2 linked regions of the Canis lupus familiaris genome follow. The protein of the gene in region 2 purifies or fractionates together with the protein of the main gene of each other region. This does not show direct contact. Links are inferred from orthologs where the notes say so. Each region holds a gene or a part of one and is shown on either strand. Other genes may lie near its edges.

What was found. The genes of interacting proteins can lie anywhere in the genome.
Region 1: the proteins of PSMD5 (region 2) and PSMA4 fractionate together in Homo sapiens (co-fractionation; 3 studies listed by BioGRID). This does not show direct contact. The link is inferred for Canis lupus familiaris from reciprocal best matches to the Homo sapiens genes PSMD5 and PSMA4.

The regions. Positions count from the first base shown.
Region 1 is NC_049234.1:39,135,532-39,142,006, forward strand, and holds the end of PSMA4 (proteasome subunit alpha type-4), read right to left. Parts: intron 6,317-6,475; 5' UTR 6,294-6,316; coding exon 6,291-6,293; intron 6,055-6,290; coding exon 6,012-6,054; intron 5,639-6,011; coding exon 5,476-5,638; intron 4,450-5,475; coding exon 4,372-4,449; intron 4,079-4,371; coding exon 3,990-4,078; intron 3,527-3,989; coding exon 3,396-3,526; intron 2,892-3,395; coding exon 2,768-2,891; intron 1,733-2,767; coding exon 1,578-1,732; 3' UTR 1,385-1,577; downstream 1-1,384. UniProt on the Homo sapiens protein: Component of the 20S core proteasome complex involved in the proteolytic degradation of most intracellular proteins. This complex plays numerous essential roles within the cell by associating with different regulatory particles.
Region 2 is NC_049232.1:74,283,647-74,289,391, reverse strand, and holds part of PSMD5 (26S proteasome non-ATPase regulatory subunit 5), read left to right. Parts: intron 1-2,051; coding exon 2,052-2,196; intron 2,197-3,201; coding exon 3,202-3,315; intron 3,316-3,940; coding exon 3,941-4,069; intron 4,070-5,745. UniProt on the Homo sapiens protein: Acts as a chaperone during the assembly of the 26S proteasome, specifically of the base subcomplex of the PA700/19S regulatory complex (RC).

The DNA.
Region 1 (6,475 bases), on a different chromosome or scaffold from region 2:
GCCGGGCCTGGGAGGCCAGTGTGGGGGGAGTGGCATCCACGGAGCAGGGCGACAGCAGGGCCGGCCTCCCCTGGGGTGCTCCCTCTGGCTGCTGTGCTGTGGGCGGACTGGGGGGAGACCAGGCGTGAGACCGCGCTGGCCGATGGTGGGGCCAGCGAGGCCCGTGGACGTACTAGCTCCCTTCTCCGTCTCCCTCCTGCACCTGCAGGCTGGCTGGCCACCCATGTCCACACCCGCGGACAGCGCCCTCGTGGTCACGGTGGACGTGTAGACGCAGCTGTGACACCTGAGCCACCTGGGGATCTGCCTGCTTCAGCTCCTTTTCTCGGCCTGTTTGTGCCAATTTGTCACATCACTGTGCTTTGCTGACCCTGCCGTCACAGTCCATGAGGGCAAGGCCGTGCTACCCAACAGGAGAGGGGGGACGCTGGGCACTGGAGAAGCTGGCGCGTCCAGGGTCGGCCATGAGATTAACGGATCAACATCCATCACACACAGAACACAGAACAGGTCACGTACGGACTGGGTGATCCGAGCCCGCTCATGGGCACTACCGAGGCCAACCTGGCCCTCCCACCGAGAGCTGTGCAGCACCTGCCCGTTCCTGGGGATGACACGGTCCCCGGGGCGGCCACGGCCAGCTGCCCACAGTGATGGGGTCCTTGGATTTAGAAGGCATACATCAGACGGGCCAGAGAACACCGAGGCAGGACCGGCAGCCGTGGGGGAGCCGCCCCGGATGTCTCACGAGCTCCGCGTGGTCCTCGTGTGTCCGCAGGGCTGACAAGCACCCGGGGGGCTGCACAGCACCCATGGCCGGGCTGCTGGGGGCAGGGGGCTCCCCGGCACGGGGTCAGGGCACCCGGTGGTGGTGGACGGCATGTGAGCAGTGAGCGCCCTCTCGTCATAGCTCCTCTGCTGTCCTCCCTGGTTCCACTCTTCCTCCGGCCTGGCCCTCGCCCCCCCACCCCCCCTGCTCAGACCAGTCCCTGCAGACAGAGCTGCCCGGGGCCCCTGCAGCCTGAGGAAGGGCCCCTGAGCTCGGAGTGGGGGTCTCGGCCTGACCGCCCCATGAGCCCACCTGAGCAGAGGGGCAGAACCCAGGGGGCAGGCCGTGCACACAGATGTGACAGGGACATATGGGGTCAGGGCACAGCCTCGGACGCCGGCTGGTGGCCACACGGGGTTTCCCGAGTCGCCTCACACTCTGCCAACAACTCACAGACGTGCTCATGTCTGGTATGAACCCCGTGGCCGCCACCGGCCGGCAGCACCAGGACGGGGAGGATCCTGCGTCCCTGCACTTGACCCTGTGGGACCCCCCGTAAGCAGGGCCCCCTCACGACAGTCATGGCTCCTGCCCCAGACGCCCCCCTTCACCATGGCCGTTCTTTCCAAGTTTTATTACCAACACAGGGAGGGACGAGCGCGTCCACTACGACCGAGCGTCACTACAAGACTCAACCGGACAGAGACGGCAGGCCTGCGCTGGTGCCCGCCCCAGTCTGCCCACCGGGCGAGGGAGGCCGGGCAGCGGGCACACGGCCCCGGAGCCGCCAGAGCCCAGGGTTCTCCTCCTATTTCTCCTTCTCTTTCTGCTCTTTTTCTTTCTTCTCTCGCTCCGCTTTCGCTTCTTCCTCCTCGTGGTTCTTGATCAGCTGCTCCACTTCCTTCTGCTTCAGGACCCTGATGACCGTCTTCCCGTTCTCTCTTGTCAGGGTGGCAATCTCCACTGCAAGTGAGTGCAAGCCTACGTTATGGGCGGGCACCTTGCCAACGGCTCCCCAGCCCAGGCGCCCGCTGCCAGCTGTGCCGCTGCTCCCGGGGACACGCGGGGGGGTGGGGGGGGGGAGGCTCGCACACGTACGCTCACGCATACTCTCGCACAAGTACTCCTGTGGGAGCTCTCACGTGTCCTGACAGCGACAGAGCACCTTCCATCCTGTGACGTTCCTGTCGACTCTCCTAAGTGTCCTCCTCACCCCCCGCAACCTTCCCACTCGCCCTTTGCCACTGTCACCAACCACTGGCTCTAGCTGGCCGGCCATTAGCTGCGATGACCAGAAGGCACCTCCACGTCCCTGTTGGAGCCCCTGGAGGTACAGTCAGAGTCGCTAACCCGTAATCACATTCATTGTTCACGGACCATTGAAAACTCTTCAAAACATAGGTATAAAAAGATCTTTCCAGGACCAAAGGCAAGAAAAGTAAACTGATACCAAAGGAGGGATTTTTGAGCAGGAGAAACCACAGAGGGCAGTCCGCAAGTAGACTGCATTTTCTAAGGACACCAGGAGCTTAATTATGCTAAACTGAATCAATCTATTAATTTACCACAATTTTTGAAAAATCCTTATTTAGAAATACTGTTTTATACGATCACATGACTTACGCTAAATAAAGTATTTAAAACTGCAAACATGGGATAACATAAGAGACCAGTGGATTCAAAAGAACAGAGAACATCACGACTCCTGCAAAGGTCGTCTCTGGATGAAGTACACCATCACCATCGTATGCAAACACACACACACACACACCAGGCGGCCGAGGAGCTGGTCAGTTACATACTAAAAGTATCTGCTTCAAACAGGTCAGTGAGCACCGAGAAGACTCTGGCCTAAGTCCTTGCGCTCAGAGGGTAGTATGGGCTTACGGTCAGGCCCAGGACCCCACGAGCCCGCGCATCCTCCCTCAGGAATAGGTTAAGGCCACTCAATCGCTCTCTCACTCAAGTGAGCCAAAGGGAGGAGTGGACACCAATTACCTTTTTCAGCCGAGAGTTTACTCACATCCATGGTCTTGTTTAGGACTTTGATAGCTAAAGCAAGTGCGGACTTCAGAGTCATTTCTCCTTCTTTGTAGTCTTGTTTTAACATCGACACCGCTGCCTATGAAACATAAAGGAGAATAAAAAAAAGAGTTTCCTTTAAATTTCTAGAACATGGATGGGTCAGAATAATAATGGCTGAACCACCGTGGGCACTGTAACCAATACCCACACTTCTAAGGGCAGGGAGGGCAGATGGGATGACAAGGGGGTTGTCGCTCTATGAACGGGATCTGTAACCTGACCTCCCCAGGCCTGCAAGGGGCCCATCACATAAGTCAAAGGGTCTGAGAACTAGGATGTAAAAAATAATTACATCCCATTTCCAAAACTTCCCACTGAAAATCAGCACTTCCTTTATTAAAGTTCCTTTATAAACGTAGACAGTAAGTCCCAGTAGTATTAGCAGTGCCTGTGACTTCGTTACCAACAGAAATCCAATGTTTTCACATCACAGTAAGGGTGCGGCAGCTATTCTAGAACAGTTTATACTCATGGCTACTTCAAAATTATGGGGGTTACTAGATCTTTTGGCAGATTTTATAGCAACCCCCAAAATACTCACAGCACTATTGTTTCCGATGCACGTGGCTTTCCATCCTCCATAATTCCCACTAGGGTCACTCTGATAGAGCTGAAAGCCATAGTGCTTGTCCCAGCCGATGTAAAGCAATGAAACACCAAAGGGACGTTTTCCTTTAACAGCAACGACAAACAACGTATCAGCCATCTGAATCCCGTATCACTATGGTTACCTGAGCCCACGAGCAGGACCAAAGCGTCCTCTGTGAAGTTAAGCATTCATAAACTGCTTCGTTTTCTGAACGCCACAGCTAAGCTCCAGCCAAAATTCCACTTTTGTCTCTAGGATTTGGACGCAGCCAAGAAAGAGAATAAAGACACAGAGGACCAGTGCTGAATTTCATTATTATGTAAAATGCAATTTGTTTCCAGATTTGAAAATGGCATTATGGCCTTCCAGCATCTATTAATAAAACATAGGACAATCTACATAGTGGAAGCCAGTAAATTGGTGAAGCAGGGATTTATGTGAAGTATTTTCTCATTTCATTTTCAATTTCTTTTTATTATCTCAAAAAGGTTATGATTCATAAGGTGGTTTAACTTTTTGGAATACAATGTTCAAAAAATTCAGTACCTCCAAACTGTGTATAGGCTTGTTTGATATCACACAGTGCTGTGACCAACTGCTCACAAGGGATTGGTTCCTGATACTGTAATAAATACCTATAATAAAGAAATTGGCATTTTAATAGACTTTTCTCTAAAACACAGACACCCCCTAAGCAAAATACCCTCTGAAAGAGATCTATGCCACAGGGACAACTCCACTGTCACCTGTAATTTGAAAAGGCGGGGAGAGTGTAGCCACAGCCTAATACCCTTAAGGTTTTATAGCTTTGGTTTAAAAAAACTTTAATTTTCAATGAATAGACTTTTTAAATGATTTAGATCTTCACAGTTCTCCTCAGAAACATGGAAACTCACTCATTTATGTATCTTGCTATTTACGACCGTACCTTTGAGCAATGAGCCTCAGTTCATTCGTGAGAACGTTAGCATCAGAAGTTATGCCCGCCACGCTGCAAGCCATGTCCCTGGAGGAGAGGACAGACGTATCTGTAAGCAGGGAGAGGTCTGCCACAGGTGTTCACAAGCACTAAGGTACAAGTGCATTGTCACAAATGCACCACGATGCTCCACAGGAGCTTCACGATGACAGACTTTCAACTTGATGTCATTCCACATGAAAAATAAAGGCTCCCACAAATTCTTCAACAGATGTATTTCTCATTACCACCCTGGGCACAGGCAAGAGACAAGCACTAAAGCAGCTAAAGTGAGCCCAAGACTTGTCAACAGATGGGAAGACAGGCTGCTCCACGTCCTCCAGTATCTGAGCCCAGCGTGATGGGGGTGAAGGGGAGGGACCTGCAGGAAGGGTGTTCTATGAGTCTGCCTGGCAGCCAGGACGAGGCCGGGACCAGGGATCCCAAGGGGTCACCCCAGCGAGCCAGGAGACAGTGGCACTGTGCACAGACAGCACCCCTTGGAATGAGCCTCCCAGGAAGGGCCCGTGCCAGCTGCAAGGTCCTGCACCGCTGACTGGAACAAACGTCCCCGGGTGTACAGGGTTGGCTACACTGTTCCCCGACCTCGGGGAGGCCTGGCGTTTGGGAAGAGTCAGCAGAACTCCACAGAATTCCTGAGTAGCCATTCTGAACAAGGCTCTGAAGCCTGCCACAGGCCACTGTGCGAGTTTATATTCATTATGGTTCAAACTGCCATGACTACTCTAGCTGAGACCCAGAGAAGTTAAACAAGCAGCGTAGAATCACACAGCTTCTAAATCAACCCAGATCTGAGTGACGACCAGCCTGGGCTCCTGTCACTTCACGATGTGGGGCCTCCACTGAGTGCTTCGTTCTGTACTTAAAAAGAGAAACATGTGGTTCCTGGGCCCCAAAGAGGTTTTAACAATAAATTAAAAGCAAAATCCCCAGAGATAAACACAAACTGTTCAATTGTACCATGTCATGGAATAGCCCTCCCGAAATACGTACAATGGCACTTATGTGAGAAAGTGAGACATTTTATACTCCCTTCCCTAAGATCTCACTTACTCATTCAGTTTATAAATTTTTTCAGAAAAAAAGACTTCATCAAGAAGCTTGTGGATGTTGCGTCTTTCTGCTGCAAGCAGAACACCATCGTTTGCTAGGATTCCCAAGCAGGTGCCTGCATGTCCAATGGCTTCCATGGCATACTCAACTTGGTACAAGCGACCTACAAGACACAAGCAGTGAGTCACCAAGCAGCAGCGCTCCTAAGGGAAGCAGTGCCAACACCGGCAGGCCACGGACAGGAGTCCCGCTTTCACCCTTCTAGGAAGCATGCGACCAACCAGGTGATCGCAATTAGTCCAAAGTACAAGAAGAACGAACAACTTAGCAAGGATTTAAAAGGAAAGTTTGTAGGCAGGGGCGCTTGGCTGGCTCAGTGAAGCATGTGATTCCTGATCTCAGGGTCGCGGCCTTATGCGGACTGTAGAGATTACTTAATAAAATTTTTGATAAAGTCTATAGATTACCCCCCCCACCCCGGTCAAATTCTAAAGAAATCTTTTTATTTGAAATATCTTAAACAATTTCCATTTTACCTTCTGGAGAAAATATGGTGGTCCTGGAGTCATATCTTCGAGACTGCAAAGGAAAAATATGGAAGTGATTCCTATCCACCAGAAGTAGGCTCCTGCAAGTCCACTAACCACCTCATAAAACAACCTGGCAGGCAAAGCTCAGTGTGTGGGAGGAAACGCATAAGGAAGAGGACACCATCCCAGCCCCTTTCCCTTCCATTCCAATTTTCTCATGCACATCTACAGATACAAACAATAAGATTTATCAGGCAACAGCTTACTGGCATGTGTATCACTCACCATGTTTTCTGAGCTTTACAGGATTCCTGTAAAAAGAGAATAAGATCATTATTAAAATGAAACTTACAATTAAGGAGCATTTTCTGACTTAAAAAAAAAAAAAAAAAAAAAAAAAAAACATTTTGTTCACTGCCTTCACACCAACACGGGGAACCCGGATCCCGTTCCCGCAGAGCTTCCTGCTG
Region 2 (5,745 bases):
AAGTGACTGGCCCTCAGATCTCCTGAGAGACATTGTCACATTATCATTATTTCTGCTAACAATGCTTGACTCTGTTGCATTATGTTATGGTTCTTTCCATGTTTGCTTCTAGTTGGATGATTCTTTGAAGGCAGGGGCCATATTCTGTTCATCTCTGCATCCCTCCTACAGTGCAGCACATTTTCCATTTGGGAAGATAAAAGTGTTCTAGAGGTGGTTGATGGTGATGCTCGCCCAACAATGTGAATGAACTTTGATACACAGAACTGTATAATAAAAAAATGGTTAAAATAGTAAAGAAGCCCATATGCATGAACAGACGCTCCTCCCCCTTCCTCCTCTCTGCCCCTCCCCCAGCCCCTGACAACCAAGAATCTGTTCTGTCTCTGTGGATTTGTCTGTTCTGGGCATTCATATAAATGCAATCACCATCAAAAAGAAGCTTTTTATGTCCCGCTTCTTTTAGAGTAATATTTCCACACTTCATCCGTATTGTATAATATCCCATTGTATGATTAAACTAGGTTATGTTCATCCACTCATTAATTGCTGGACATTTGGGTTGTTTCTATTGCTATGAATATCCACACACAAATTCTTGTGTGGATATATGGTTTCAGTTATCTTGGGTATAAACACTGTTAATTACTCCCTTAGGTGCAGTTATACAAAGTGGAATCCCAAAGTTAAAAAAGTTATGTCCATTTTTAAGGTTTTTTACATCTATTGCTTAATCAACTTTTATATTTTTAAAGATTTTATTTATTCCTGAGAGACACACAGAGGCAGAGACCCAAGGAGAGGGAGAAGCAGCCTCCCTGCGGGGAGCCCAATGTGGGCCTCGGTCCTAGGATCCCAGGTTCACACCCTGAGCCAAGGGCAGACACTCAACCGCTGAGTCACCCAGGTGCCCCTTAATCAACTTTTAGAAAAGTCAAATCACTTTAATTGTATATTCCTGTTAATAGTATATGAGCGCCTGAGCTATTTACACGTACTGCCCATTAGGAGAAGAAGTGATTCTTGAAATACCTTCTATATCCACAACTGGTAGTCATCAAGTTCTGATTAATTCACATCTTTAATTCCTCGTGAATCTTTTCCCGCCTCTCTATCTCTTCTTACTACACTGTTTCACTCCCTCATCACCTGCCTTCTAACGGAAAAAATATTTCTCTAACTAATACAGAATAATTTCTTCAAGTCAGATCTCATCAGTTACTTTCTGTTTAAAACCACTTAGTGGCTTGCCATTGCTTTCTGGAAAAAGTCTGAATTCTGTAGATGATAAAAAACCCCATCAGAGTCTGGCTTCTGTGCATCTTTCCTGTTTCATTTCTCCCTGTTCATACCTCCCCTTTTACCTTCTCCCCACTTCTCTCCCATTCTTACCCCAGTTATATGGAGCTCCCTGTACTTCCTTGAATGTATAACACTACCTCATTCCTCTACCCCTTCATGTCCTTCTACATGGAACACCTTTGTTCTTCTAGATAATTCCCACTTTTTCTTAAAATTTAGTTCAGCTAGGGGATCCCTGGGTGGCGCAGCGGTTTGGCGCCTGCCTTTGGCCCAGGGCACGATCCTGGAGACCCGGGATCGAATCCCACGTCGGGCTCCCGATGCATGGAGCCTGTTTCTCTCTCTGCCTGTGTCTCTGCCTCTCTCTCTCTGTGTGACTATCATAAGTAAATAAAAATTTTAAAAAAAATTCATATTTAAAAAAAAAATTTTAGTTCAGCTATTACCCCTCTGGGAGGGCTTCCTTGATCCCTGTGTTCTTTTTTGAGCTCCCAGAATTTCCAACCCTAACCTATAATATTTACCCACCTGAATTATAATTGCCCTTCTGTTTTTCTGTATTTTCCATTAGACTAAGCTCGTTGAGGCTAGAGAATATATAGGTACTTAGTAAATGTTTAATAAATTGGTAGAAGTTAGTATTTTAAAGGAAGTCTGGTGTGGAAGAGACCTTCATTGAGCCAGGCTTCAGGTTGTTACTTTGTACCTGGCCGGACACAAACTAATGAGACCTATGACATTTCCTTTAGGGAACAGACCACTTTGTGTGTATCCATTCTGGAGAGATTGCTCCAAGCTATGGAGCCGGTTCACATAGCCCGGAACCTCGGAGCTGACCTTCAGAAGGGACTGACTCACCCCGATGATTCCGTAAAAATTCTGACTCTATCCCAGGTATGAAATTTTACTAGCACATAATAAGGAAACTGACATTTAGTGACCGCCTGCTCTGGACCAGGCTCTGTGTTGGGTGCCAAAGACAGAGAGACAAAACATGATCTCTCTGTGTCCCTAGGAGGTGTCTCGTCTATTCTAGTGTGCGTAGCTAACTATAAGCAGGAGCATCCAGGCTAAAGTAAGGGGTTCTAGTAAGTATTGTCTGAAATACTCCTTCATCAAATGCTGACTGAATTCCTTGTACATGCCAGACATTGTACCATATACTGTTAGAGCTATCAAGATAAATAGAGCCTATTTCCTCCCCTCAGGGAGCTCCTAATCTAGAGGAAGTAATTGCCAAAGTAGCTCTTATTATAGGGGCATAAAAAAGGTGCTATTGTAAAGGTCACCAAACCAAGAAATTGAGACAGTAACTCTTACAACCCTAGTAACCAAAATACTATTTGGGTGAAGAGTTGCTGCTAAGGATTATATTGTTGAGATGTTAGGACCCAAGCAGTTATCTAGGAGGCATCAAGTACTATTTTTCTTTTTCTCACCTGGAGGTATTATTTCAACAAAAAAGGAGAAAGTGTTGATTGATTCTCTGACCATTTATGTGCTAGACGCCATAGTAGGTACTTATCCTATTTAGTTTCCTTCCATCGTCATAACTACCCTGCAGTTAAGTATTATGATCACATTTTACAGATAGAAACCTGTAAAGAATTAACTAAAGAAGTTAGTTAATTTGCTCAGGGTCTGTAGCTAAAAATTGATAGAACTAGAATTTGTGTTGTCTTCTTTCACTGGAGTGTCTCTATTTTTTACCTACTGTTAACTTTTGTCTTTCTTTTCAGTATTGTGCCTATATCATGAGTGTCTTCAGCTTTAATGAATTTGGGTCATTTGGAATTTTTTTTTTCATTTGGAATTTTTAATGGCTTGTCTTAGAGCTGAATCATCGACCCCTAAGATAAATGCACACTAAGGGAATTTCTGATTGCATTTTTATTTCAGGTCGGAAGAATTGTTGAGAATTCTGATGCTGTTACTGAGATTCTAAATAATGGCGAATTACTAAAACAGATCGTTTATTGTATTGGTGGAGACAATCTGTCTGTAGCTAAAGCGGTGAGTCACCTAGAACCATCAGCTTAAGCACACAGAGTATCCTAAAAAACAAAGGAAGGCCTTCTGGATTGAGGGGTGGAAGTTTAGGATGGATGATTTGTATAGTTGAATTTGCAGCCTCACATAGATGGTGTCAGATAAGTAAATGGTGTCATATAAATACCAGTAAACCCCTTCTGTTTTCTAAAATACACATATCTAAATTATCCATCATGGAACTTATATTAGGTTGCTTGGTAAGAAAATTTACGTCATCCGTTTTTGTTTTTGTTTTTTTAAGATTTTATTTATTCATGAGAGGCACAGAGAGAGAGGCAGAGACACAGGCAGAGGGAGAAGCAGGCTCCATGCAGGGAACCTGATATGGGCCTCGGTCCCAGGTCTCCAGGATCACGACCTGAGCTGAAGGCAGCGCTAAACCACTGAGCCACCCAGGCTGCCCACATCGTGCATTTTCTATAGGGAATACTATGTGTATCTTTTTCAGTTTAAAATAATGATAACTAAAACATAGTGCTCGTTGAGCAAGATGCATTCCACACACTAATTTCACATCCATCTCATGAAGTAGGTATTAAGTATTCTGCATCTTTATGACTTAAGAGGTATTTTCTTTCCTTATAAGGCCATTAAATCCCTGTCAAAAATATCACTAACCCAAGCTGGACTGGAGGCTTTATTTGAAAGCAATCTGCTGGATGATCTGAAAAGGGTAATGAAAACAAACGACATCGTTCGATACAGAGTATATGAGGTAAGACTAAAGCAGGCAGTTTTATTTTGTTTTGTTTTGTTTTTGAGAGAGAGAGTGTGAGTGCAGGGGGAGGGGCAGAGAGATAGAGAATCGCAAGCAGCCTCCAAGCTCAGCATAGAGCCCAGCGCAGGGCTTGATCTCACGACCCTGAAATCATGACCTGAGCCGAAATCAAGAGTTGGACACTCCACCGACTGAGCCCCCCAGGCACCCCTTCTCATGCCTGCCATTCAGAATGCAATAGAGCTACCACTGAAAGGCAAGATGTCTTGTTAACATCCATCTATTGAGCATCTAGTCTTTATAAGACCCTATATTCAATAGCTGGGTACGTGGAGGTGAACCCTCAGCCTAATGTGTCAGGCAGTCATCTAAAAAATTATCATGGCAGACTACGTAAAGTACTATAATAGGAGATAATGTCAAAACTGGACTTTGAAATAGTACTAATATGAAGAAATGACTCATTTGCACCCACTCTGTACTTAGCATTGTGCTGAATCTCCACATATATTGTCCATTTTTATGGTAAACCCTACACATGATTATCACTGACTTCACTATTAATACAGTAGCTGACCCAAGCCATATAGTTAAGAGGCTGCATATTCAAAATGGAACCCTTGACAGTCTGATTCCCTATTTAAAACACTTTCTTACTGGGCATATCTTAATACCATGCTATCCTGGTTTCCCTTCTGCCTCTCTAGCTGTTTCTTTTCTGTCTCCTGGTTCATTATCCTCTGTTGAACTTTTAATTTTTGGAATTCATGAAGGTAAATTCCCAAACCCTCTTCTCATTATACATTCATTTCTAGGCAATTTTATTCATCCTATGATTTCAGTTCCCATCTACATGGGATGACTTCATAGACCTCCAACCCAGACCTCTCTTCTGAACTCAGACCTTCATGTCCAACTGCCTACTGACTGTTCCCCCTTTGGACCTATGTATTCTAGGCCCCTCACACTCATATTCAAACCAAACTCCTAAGCTTCTTCTTTTTGTTTTTTTTTTTAATTTTATTTATTTATTCAGGAGAGACACAGAGAGAGAGGCAGAGACACAGGCAGAGGGAGAAACAGGCTCCCTGCAGGGGAGCCCAGTGCAGGACTTGATCCCAGGACTCCAGGATCACACCCTGAGCCAAAGGCAGACACTCAACCGCTGAGCCACCCAGGCGTCCCTAAACTCCTAAGCTTCTTTACCCAGCCCATGCTCTAATAAAAAATAGCAACAGACTGGCTCTGCATGAGGCCTTGCTCTCCCTACCACATATCCATTAGGTCATCATACTGTCAGTTTTACTTATTAAACCATGCACTTATGGGATCCCTGGGTGGCGCAGTGGTTTGGCGCCTGCCTTTGGCCCAGGGCGCGATCCTGGAGACCCGGGATCGAGTCCCATGTCGGGCTCCCGGTGCATGGAGCCTGCTTCTCCCTCTGCCTGTGTCTCTGCCTCTCTCTCTCTCTCTCTGTGTGACTATCATAAATAAATAAAAAAAAAATTAAAAAAAAAAAATAAACCATGCACTTAAAAAATAAAAATAGGGGATCCCTGGGTGGCGCAGCAGTTTAGTGCCTGCCTTTGGCCCAGAGCGCGATCCTGGGGACCGGGATCGAGTCCCACATCGAGCTCCCGGTGCATGGAGCCTGCTTCTCCCTCTGCCTGTGT